Linked DNA regions of Caenorhabditis elegans. The protein of the gene in region 2 interacts with the protein of the main gene of each other region in a pairwise test. Each region holds a gene or a part of one and is shown on either strand. Other genes may lie near its edges. The genes, in order: bckd-1A and clec-110.

The links.
Region 1: the proteins of clec-110 (region 2) and bckd-1A interact in a two-hybrid assay, tested with the Caenorhabditis elegans proteins (one large-scale study listed by BioGRID).

What each region holds. Positions count from the first base shown.
Region 1 is NC_003281.10:12,967,602-12,974,113, reverse strand, and holds bckd-1A (2-oxoisovalerate dehydrogenase subunit alpha), read left to right. Parts: upstream 1-1,716; coding exon 1,717-1,719; intron 1,720-2,293; coding exon 2,294-2,416; intron 2,417-2,486; coding exon 2,487-2,874; intron 2,875-4,175; coding exon 4,176-4,506; intron 4,507-5,438; coding exon 5,439-5,892; downstream 5,893-6,512. UniProt on the Caenorhabditis elegans protein: The branched-chain alpha-keto dehydrogenase complex catalyzes the overall conversion of alpha-keto acids to acyl-CoA and CO(2).
Region 2 is NC_003279.8:13,202,695-13,206,179, forward strand, and holds clec-110 (C-type lectin domain-containing protein), read left to right. Parts: upstream 1-1,802; coding exon 1,803-2,053; intron 2,054-2,119; coding exon 2,120-2,274; intron 2,275-2,335; coding exon 2,336-2,468; intron 2,469-2,513; coding exon 2,514-2,709; downstream 2,710-3,485. Other genes in the region: F17B5.6 (L-Fucosyltransferase), read left to right, coding at 1-15, 182-342, 622-735, 787-896, 945-1,048, 1,106-1,273, 1,320-1,411, 1,457-1,531; ZK1225.1 (Core-2/I-branching beta-1,6-N-acetylglucosaminyltransferase family protein), read left to right, coding at 2,970-2,980, 3,115-3,238, 3,467-3,485.

The DNA.
Region 1 (6,512 bases), on a different chromosome or scaffold from region 2:
ACTAAAATACAGCAACCCAATGATTTGAAACCCAACTGACATAAAAGCGAGAAGAATTGACACAAAGTAAATAAAATGAATGAAATCCGAAACAGTCACATTTTAAAATATATTTTTTCATCATTCCAGAAATTCTTCAAAGAAAAAAAGTTGAGAAAACAGTGGATGAGGATCATGAAGATGAAGTATGCGGTCTGAAAAATGGAAAGTCTGAAATTCAGAAAAAAACCACAAAAAAAAAATAAAAAATTGCGATTTTTGTTTGAATTCCCTCCAAAATTAGAGCTGCCATCTGATTGGTTCAAAAATGGGCGGAGCGAATCGCTGATTGGTCTATCACGCCAAAATTGAAAAATCACGGGGATTTTTCACGCTTTTCTTTTGTGGTATTTCTGATTTTGAGTTTACTTTGCATTTTTTGAAGCAAAAATCATCAAAAATTTATTAGATACTGTGGAAATATGTTTTACTTGTTGCTTGAATGAATTTTTAGCCAAATTCGGTGCATTCAATAAGATAGCCCAACATTGGAGCTCAGAACAAAGAAACTTCCTGTCTTAAAATGAATGAATCTATTGTTACGCAAAAGAGTATTTTAATTGTTTTCCAAAACTGAAAACTGTTGCTTTTTTTGTTTTTAAAGTTTATCTTCAGTTCTGAGTCTTAGCAGAAAATAATTGATTTTTCAAAATTTCGGCGAAACTTCGAAAGAAAGTGGAAAAAATACCAGAATTAAATAAAGTCGTTTTATTTTCGTTTTTCGAACATTTTCGAAAACGAAAACGAAAAAATTCGTTTTCGTCAAAACCCCGAAAACAACGAAAAAACGAAAACGCGAAAACGAAAAAGTCCCAGCCCTGGTCCCAACCAACCGGAATCCACGAACAACAGACATCAATTCCATAGAAAAATGTTTCGAATCGTCCCCGTCTTCCTGTAATTACAGGTTCACCATCAGTGCAGTCTCCACGTCGTGATCATCTTCTTCGCTCATAATTAATAAAGGTATAGGATGTAACTGCCACTCACGCACACTGATCGATCTTATAAGGGTTTATTAAGTAAAAGGGAACAGACGAATTGCATCGTCGAAACAGAGTAAACGAGAGAAAAGGGAAAACGACAAGTAACGGGTTAAAGAGTTAATAAATGATCACAAATGAGCGTCGTCCTCTCCTTATATAGGCATTCCGGGTTAAAGGCGCAGCCTTTAACGACGACGGGTCTCGGCGCGACAAGGCGACCTTCTGTAGCTTGGCGGCGGTTTGAACTGGAGTTTCTCCTCCTCGCGGATTGCCTTCGCTGTAGAAATCGTTGTCCTCGACCGATTTCGTCCGTTCTTTCTGTAAATTATCAGAGAGAATTTAAAGGCAAATAAATTAGTATTTATTTATGTAAAATGTGAAGTGAAAAGGGTGGGAATCCTTACAAATTGCAATATTTTTGTTTTATAATCTGCAGAATTTCAATGAAAAAATCACATTTTCAGTCGAAATTCAAAAGTTCTTACCGATAATAAATTGCTGTTTTCGTTCGAAATGAATAGAAATCGAGAAATGATTAATTTTTTCTCTAATCTAAAGAAAATCAATAATTTAAATTTTTTTAAATTCAGTTTCCCGTGTCGCCCTGTTTTCTGGAAAAAGATTAGAAAATCCAATTTCTTGTTCTGTCTTTCGCCGAAGAAACACGCGTTTTCCCTGGGGAAATCATCAAATGGTTCGTTTTTTTAAAAAGATTTTTGAGCAAAAAGGTCTCACCGCGACAAGTTCTTGTGAAATAAAAACGGGTATGCGCCTTTAAGGAGTACTGTGGATTTTTAGAGTTTTTTCGATGAAATAACGATTTATTTTTTATCAATTTCATTGTAAAGTCAATGAATTTATTAGAAAGCTTTCGAAAGAAAAAACCTAGGCCTCTAAACTTCTGCTAGGTTACTGTAGATTTTTCAAGAGAATAAGAGAACCGGCTCAGATTTTTGTTGCAAACTCTGCCGATTGTTAGTTGTTTGATTTTTATCGATTTTCCGCCAAATATCTCTCAGCTCTTATCACTGAAAGTGATTGAAACACATGAAAAGTGACACAAAGTGTCGTCAATACACCACATTTGACGACATTTTGCGGACTTTTTTCTGTGGCTGGTGATTTTTCCACAGGTTTTTTGCATTTTTTTGCATTTTTTTTGTGGCAAATTCAATAGACTATTTGCCACGTTTTATTGTATCTTTTTTGTTGAAAAAATTCAAAAAAATATTTTTAATTCAAAAATTTTAATTCCTTATTCCCTTCAGATGCACAGAGCACTTCTCAACGCCTCGAGACGGGTGGCAACCGTCAGAAGCATGGCTTCTACCGTTGAAGGAGACGCTTTCCGGCTCAGCGAGTACAGCTCAAAGTATTTGGGCCATAGAAAAGTAATTTATTCTTAATTTATTATTTTTCTATTTTTTCCCCATTTAAAATACTAAACTTCACTTTTTTCAGGCCGCTTTCACTGAAAAACTAGAAATCGTGAACGCCGACGACACGCCAGCACTGCCAATCTACAGAGTCACCAACGCCGTCGGTGACGTCATCGACAAGTCGCAGGACCCAAATTTCGACGAGCAAACTTCGCTGAAAATGTACAAAACGATGACACAGCTGAATATTATGGATCGGATCCTGTATGATTCGCAGCGTCAAGGACGCATCTCGTTTTATATGACAAGCTTCGGAGAAGAAGGAAATCATGTCGGAAGTGCCGCCGCTCTCGAGCCACAGGATCTGATTTATGGACAATATCGTGAAGCCGGGGTCCTGCTGTGGAGAGGATATACTATGGAGAATTTCATGAATCAGTGCTATGGAAATGCGGATGACTTGGGAAAAGGTCCGAGAAAAACCTTGATTTTGCTTTTAAAAAATCGATATTTCTGGAGAAAGTCAACCTATTTTTCCGTTTTTTTTTCAATTTTTCTTCACTTCGATTCCCGAATTTTGCAAAAAAAAACTGTGCCGCACAGAAAAAGAGGTGGGGCGTAATTTTGCAACGACGTGGCACGGTTTTTCCTCTTTTTTGTTGATTTTTCCTTTTTTCTCCGAAAATTTACAATATTTCTTGAAAATATTATTCAATTTACTACTCATAAGATTGTGCGAATTAGGTAACATTTTTACTTAAAAAAAGAAAATAAGAAAAATTGTGAATTTTTGGAAAAAATCATTGAAAAAGGAGGAAAAACCGTGCCGCAGGGTTGCAAAATTACGCTCCGCATCTTTTTCTGTGCGGCGGCGCTTTTTTTTGCAAAAAAAAAATCACGAATCGATTTATCTAAAAAATTTTGAAAAAAATCATCAAAAAAAGAGGAAAACCGTGCCGCAGGGTTGAAAAATTACGCTCCACCCCTTTTTCTGTGCCGCGCTATTTTTTTTCAAAAAAAAATCACGAATCGATTTCTCAAAAAAATTTTGAAAAAAACCATTGAAAAAGGAGGAAAAACCGTGCCGCAGGGTTGCAAAATTACGCCACGCCTCTTTTTTTGTGCGGCGGCGCTTTTTTTGCAAAAAAATCACGAATCGATTTATCCAAAAAATTTGAAAAAAAATCATCAAAAAGCCAGGAAAAATCGAGACCCGAAGAACTCGGGGGATGTCCAATTGGGGGGATTACCAACTCGGGGGATTGGCCCCGCCCACAGAACCGTGGCTTGCAATACACCCATTTCTGCAACTGCCGCACGGTTTTAAAACTGTATTTTTATTAATAGAGCGAGAAATAACAAGAAAAAATATTTTTAAAACCGTGCGGCAGTTGCAGAAATGGGCGTATTGCAAGCCACGGTTCTGTGGGCGGGGCCAATCCCCCGAGTTGGTAATCCCCCCAATTGGACATCCCCCGAGTTCTTCGGGTCTCGAAAAATCGTGCCGCAGGGTTGCAAAATTACGCCCCGCCTCTTTTTCTGTGCGGCGTCGTTTTTTTTTGTCTTTTTTACAAAAAAAATCACGAAAAAATTTAAAAAAAAAGGAAAAATCTGATGAAAAACTCGAAGAAAAATCGATTTTTAAGGAAAAATTGAGTGGAATTTTTTAAAAATCCGAAAAAAAAATTTGAAAATTTTTGAACAAAAGCTCCAGCAGCCGCTGGTCTTCGAATTCCAAGATTTTTTCAAAAACCAAAAATTCCATTTTCAGGCCGCCAAATGCCAATGCATTTCGGAACAAAAGAGCGAAACTTTGTCACAATCTCATCTCCACTGACCACTCAACTTCCACAAGCCGTCGGCTCAGCGTACGCTTTCAAGCAACAAAAGGATAATAATCGCATCGCAGTCGTCTATTTCGGAGATGGAGCCGCTTCTGAAGGAGATGCTCACGCAGCGTTCAACTTCGCCGCCACTCTCAAATGCCCGATTATTTTCTTCTGTAGAAACAACGGATACGCCATTTCTACGCCGACTAGTGAACAGTATGGAGGAGATGGAATTGCTGGAAAGGGACCGGCTTATGGTCTTCATACTATTAGGTAGAGAGAACTGGATTCGTTGAAAAGCAGTGCCACCGCACGGAAAAAGAGGCGGAGCGCAAGAATTTGCAGTTTTTGGCTTGATTTTGCTTGATTTTGAATCATTTTTTGACAAAAAAAATTGTAATTTCTGAAATTTTACAATTTTCTCTTGTTTTTCCCTTTTTTTCCTCCATTTTTTCGCGATTTTCTCGTGAAATTGGCAAAAATTCGAAAATATAAAAAAAATATACGAAAATTAAAGAAAAAACCCACAATTAATCGGTAAAAAATCACCAAAATAAGAATTTCAGCCTAAAAAAGTGCGCCGCAGGTTTGCGAAAACGAGGCTCCGCTCCTTTTTCTGTGCGATCACAGAATTCTGAAAATGCGTATTGCACAACATATGTTATCACGTCAAATATGTTGTGAAATACGCATTTTCAGAACTCTGTGGTCGCACAGAAAAAGAGGCGGAGCTTAGGTTTTGCAAACCTGCGGCGTGCCGTTTATTTTACGAGAAAATCGCGGGAAAAAGTGGAACAAAATTACGAAAAAGAAGAGAAAATTGTAGATTTTCAGAAAATTGACTAATTTTGCCAAAAATTGAAAAAAAAATCGAATCTTAAGGCGCGCCGCAGACTTGCAAAACTACGCCCCGCCCATTTTTCTGTGCGACGCAGCTTTTTTCTTTTGCAAGAAATAAATCACGGATCGATTGTTCAGTATCTGTTTGCATACCTAAATATATTTTTTAAAAATCATCAAAAATAAAGGAAAAACCGTGCCGCAGGGTTGCAAAATTACGCCCCGCCCATTTTTCTGTGCGGCACTTGCGAATATTCTATCTATATAATCTAATATTATCTTCTAAAAAGAGGAAAAATGAGCTATTTTTGAAATATAAAATTGGAAATTTAAAAAATAACAAAAAATTTCAAAATTTTTTCCAGAGTCGATGGAAACGACCTTCTCGCCGTCTACAACGCGACAAAAGAAGCCCGCCGAGTCGCCCTCACCAACCGCCCAGTGCTCATCGAGGCCATGACCTACCGCCTCGGCCATCATTCAACATCCGACGACTCGACCGCCTACCGATCTTCCGATGAAGTTCAAACATGGGGAGACAAGGATCATCCGATCACTCGCTTCAAGAAGTACATCACGGAACGTGGATGGTGGAATGAGGAGAAGGAGATGGAATGGCAGAAAGAGGTGAAGAAGCGTGTGCTCACCGAGTTCGCCGCAGCTGAGAAGCGGAAGAAGGCGCATTATCATGATTTGTTCGAGGATGTTTATGATGAGCTTCCACTCAGACTTCGCCGTCAGAGAGATGAGCTGGATGCTCATGTTGCGGAGTACAAGGAGCATTATCCGATGTTGGAGACTCTTCAATCGAAGCCTTAAATTCATTTTTTGTGATGCTTTTTTTTTCTATGAAAATATTACTAGAATACGTTTTTTTTTTGTAGATTTTCCTGTGCCATTCCGATGTGTTTTATCAAATAGATTTTGCTTTTATTTATGAACCCTCATGTTTTGTTTCTAGGTGCCTTTTCCCGTGTTCCCCGCATATTTCTTTTGTCAGCCCCTTCCCACCTTTCAATATGGAGAGGATACCCCACACTGTTTTATCGATTTTTGTGTCCTGAATAGGGCGTATAACAAATAAAATAGACCGAATGCTCGAAAAATTTTAATTTTTGCAATTTATTGCCACTGAACAACCAATTGTTCGTATCAATACGACAGCACAAATTTCTTCTTTTTTTTATCAATTTTCTTTATCTTTTTTTTGTATTTTTCTCTAATTCTCTCACGATTTCTCTATATCTTTTCTTTGCAATCTTCTCTTGTCGGTTTTGACCGAAAATTTTTAATGTTCTATGTTCTTTTTTTTTTCAAACGAAAATTTTAGGATTTTGGTCTCGACACGACAATTTTAGTTTTGTGCAAACAGGTGTGCGCCTTTAAAGAGTACTGTAGTTTCAAACTTGTGTATTTGCGGAATTTTCATTAATTTTTCG
Region 2 (3,485 bases):
CGGATTCAGGCCTTGGTAATTTATTTAGATATATGCAAACCAGTTTAAATCTTTCCTTAACTGCTGTAAGGCCATACTAAAAGTACCCAAAAGTTTTGAAAATAAAGTCGGAATAATTAAAAGCTCCAACAGTCATGATAACGTATATTTTTTGTAATATAGAAATATACAAAAATTTCAGGAAACCAACTATTCGAAGTAGTTTCCTTACTTGGAATGGCAGAGGTGTTAAACAGAACTGCGATATTCAACAAAGACGACACAATGCTCAACGAAAAGCTCAGTTTCTTCCGAGAAACAGTTCCACGTGTAGCCGAGAAGGTGGCCTCGATGCCTATTGAGGTATGCCTTACGGGCCTTAAAAAATGCACCTTAAAAACCTAATGTGTAATAATTGAGGTTGACACCAGGTCTGGTACCAAAAAATAAATTTGAACCAAAAAACAAAGAACCGGTGAAAAAGTGAAAATTTTAGGTTCTTTTTGTTCCAAAAAACCAAAAAAAAATCAATTGTTTTTCAAAATAACAAAATAGGTCCCAGCTTTGGTTGGCACGGCATACTTACCTGCTATAGACTCTATGTGAAGATATAAGACAATCAAACATCCTTCACTGTTTTAGATCTCAAAGTCCGCTCGATTCGTCGCACCAGTCGCCTGCTGTTACTACCAATACACGGGCCTGCTCACTTGCGATCAGAGCAAGTTCCTGGTCATTGATGGGATGCATTTCCAGGTGAGAACTACGACCGCTAGGTAAACTATGATATTAGCTAGATATGTTCAGAGTTACAAATATTTTGCACCCATCGAATCTACCATCAGGCAGTTGTTGAAGCCAACCCCGGAAGAACTAGCCAGAATTTCAATGAAGAATCAGGAGGAAGGTCGTCATGGGTACCACCTAATTTATATTCAACAAAACTTAAAATCTTTAATGTTTAGTACCTGCGTGCACGTTCGTCGTGGAGACTTTGTCGCAGACTCGCAGCACACTGGGACAGACGAAACATTTACTATCAAGGCAATCGAGTATTTGTTCACTAAATGTTAGTAAAAATTTTACCGGAACAGTCTGGCTGCAGTTATAAAACTCCCATTTTTAGACAGTGGAACTATTTACATGATCAGCAACGATCCAGACTGGGTGGGAGAGCATATTGTGAACCATGTCGCTTTTCGAAATGATATGAAAGTGCTAAGAACTCCCAACAATCGAGCCATTGATGATCTCTATTTTTCGCAGGTTTACTGTGATTCTGTTCTGATAACTGGTAGGTGTAAAGGTATTGAGAGAATGAGAAATCAAATTATTTTCAGCCCCCTCTTCCACGTTTGGCTGGTGGATCGGATATCTGTCAAAAAATCAATCAGCAGTGTATTATCGAGATATTCGAGAAACCACTGATGAGGTATTTATTGGGCGTATTCCTAAAATATAAAGTTTTTTTGTTCAGGTGAAGTACCAAATGGTCGAAGAGGATTTCTTTCCAGAAACTTGGACAAAACTGCGGATTTCTGATATGCTTTAAGCTAACATATTAGTGATAGTTGTTTGTTGGTTTTACACCTTATATTAATAAAATAGTTTTTTTAAAAATTCATTGCTACTTAAAAACTGATCAGGAACACTCTGAATGTTTTATGTCGTATGCAGATGTATAATACTACTACAAAAAATGTACAGTGTACGGTAATACCACGTTTCTCTCTGTCCCGATCACCTTTTTCCAAGCGATAAAAACCAGCATCAGTATAAAATACAAAGTTTTATGAGACAACCAGCAGAGTTCCGTATCAAAGATGCATCTTGCGACGCCAGTCGTGTTTCTTTTGCTTTTTGCAACTATAACCATCGCTATCGAATTTGATGGTGGTAAAGGAGGTGGAAGAAGACGGCTTGATTTCTCTGATTCTTCTTTATCTTCATCTTCCGAAGAACATAGACATAGACCCCCGCATCGGCCGAGGCCTCCAAGACCCTCAAGACCAACAACTCCGAGAGGTGAATGTGACGATGGATGGTTGAGATTCGAGAGGGATCACGAAATCTGGTGTATTTTTATAAGTGATTCTGGATTTAACAAGAATTCAATTCCTTGTTAGATTGCCTATCCGAGGATCACAAATGCTATGCTTACTCAACCGACTGCTGAAACCCTCTGCCAAACAATGGGTGCCACGTTGACAGGATATCAAAATGATAATGAGCGAGTGACCACTGCAAATGAAGCACTGAAAAAACTCGTAGCTGCCGGACAATCTACCATTGCCGGTAAGCCTATATCTCAGTTTTGCAATTTCAGTATAATTATGTTCATCTATGTGGCTTGGAGCGACAAATGTACCAGCATGCAGATACCAAAGCTGTGGACCTTATAACACATTTACATGGACCGATGGTCACACGAATGGAACTGCAGGCTTCAGCAAATGGGGAGTTGGACAACCCGATAATCGTAACTATGGGTCGGATCTAATATTATTTTAAAGACCATCAATTACTATTTTCAGAGGACCTACAATCTGTCTTCAACAATTCATCATGACCCCTAACTGGGTCGGACTTCGAGGAGACCTCGAGGAATGGAGAGCTGCTTTCACCAATGGAGATCTTGATAGATATGGATGCCTAGACGCTCCAGGACTGCCCCAGACAAAAATGTACGCTTGTGGAAAAGTCGGGGTCAGTCGAAGATCACGTGGATAAATTGTGACATATGAAATATTAATGAAGTGTTTTCTTACGAGTGTGTTTTTTCTTTCCTGGAGTAACTTGCCCGGCCCAACTGTTCGGCACATTGATTTTCATTTCCAGTGAACTCATTGTATTGCGATCAAGCAAGACACTGCCCGATTCCGTTTTCCGCGTACCTCTTTTTAGATCTGCTATCTACGCGGAAAATTCGATAGTGCGTGCGTTTCTTGAAATTCTTCGGACCATATTTATTATCGATTTTCAATTTAAAAATGATTGGAAGGTTAGTTTTTATTTGGAAAATATTTAGTTGTGCATGAATCGTATGTAAGCTTGTAACGTTTTGATAAATTTTGATTTTTGTCTTCTTTTAGACCACTTCTTTTTTTTTTGCAAAAATAACTTTAACAAATTCAGGACCACTTCGAAAAAACTTCCGTTGCTCCTGACTTTTGCGATTTTGACGCTGTGGATTGTTTTCGAGTTTACAGAATTCGAGTTTCTGTACACAAAGTCGCAGTTTCAAGTGGAAGATTTTAATGTGAGTTGGCATACATTTCTGTAGAGAATCTTTCGTTATTAGTTCTACTCGTTCCATTTTTTCTTAAGTACCAGACGAAGACACTTTCTTTAGTTCATACACCGTTTGAAAACAAGATGCAAGTGGAAGATAACCTACTAAGGTGACGGAGAGCGGAGGGAATACGAGAACCTTGTTCATCGCAATCCTTGAAAAATTAAACTTATTTTTGTTAGTTTTTTTTTTCAGTCCAGTTTGCCGAGCACAG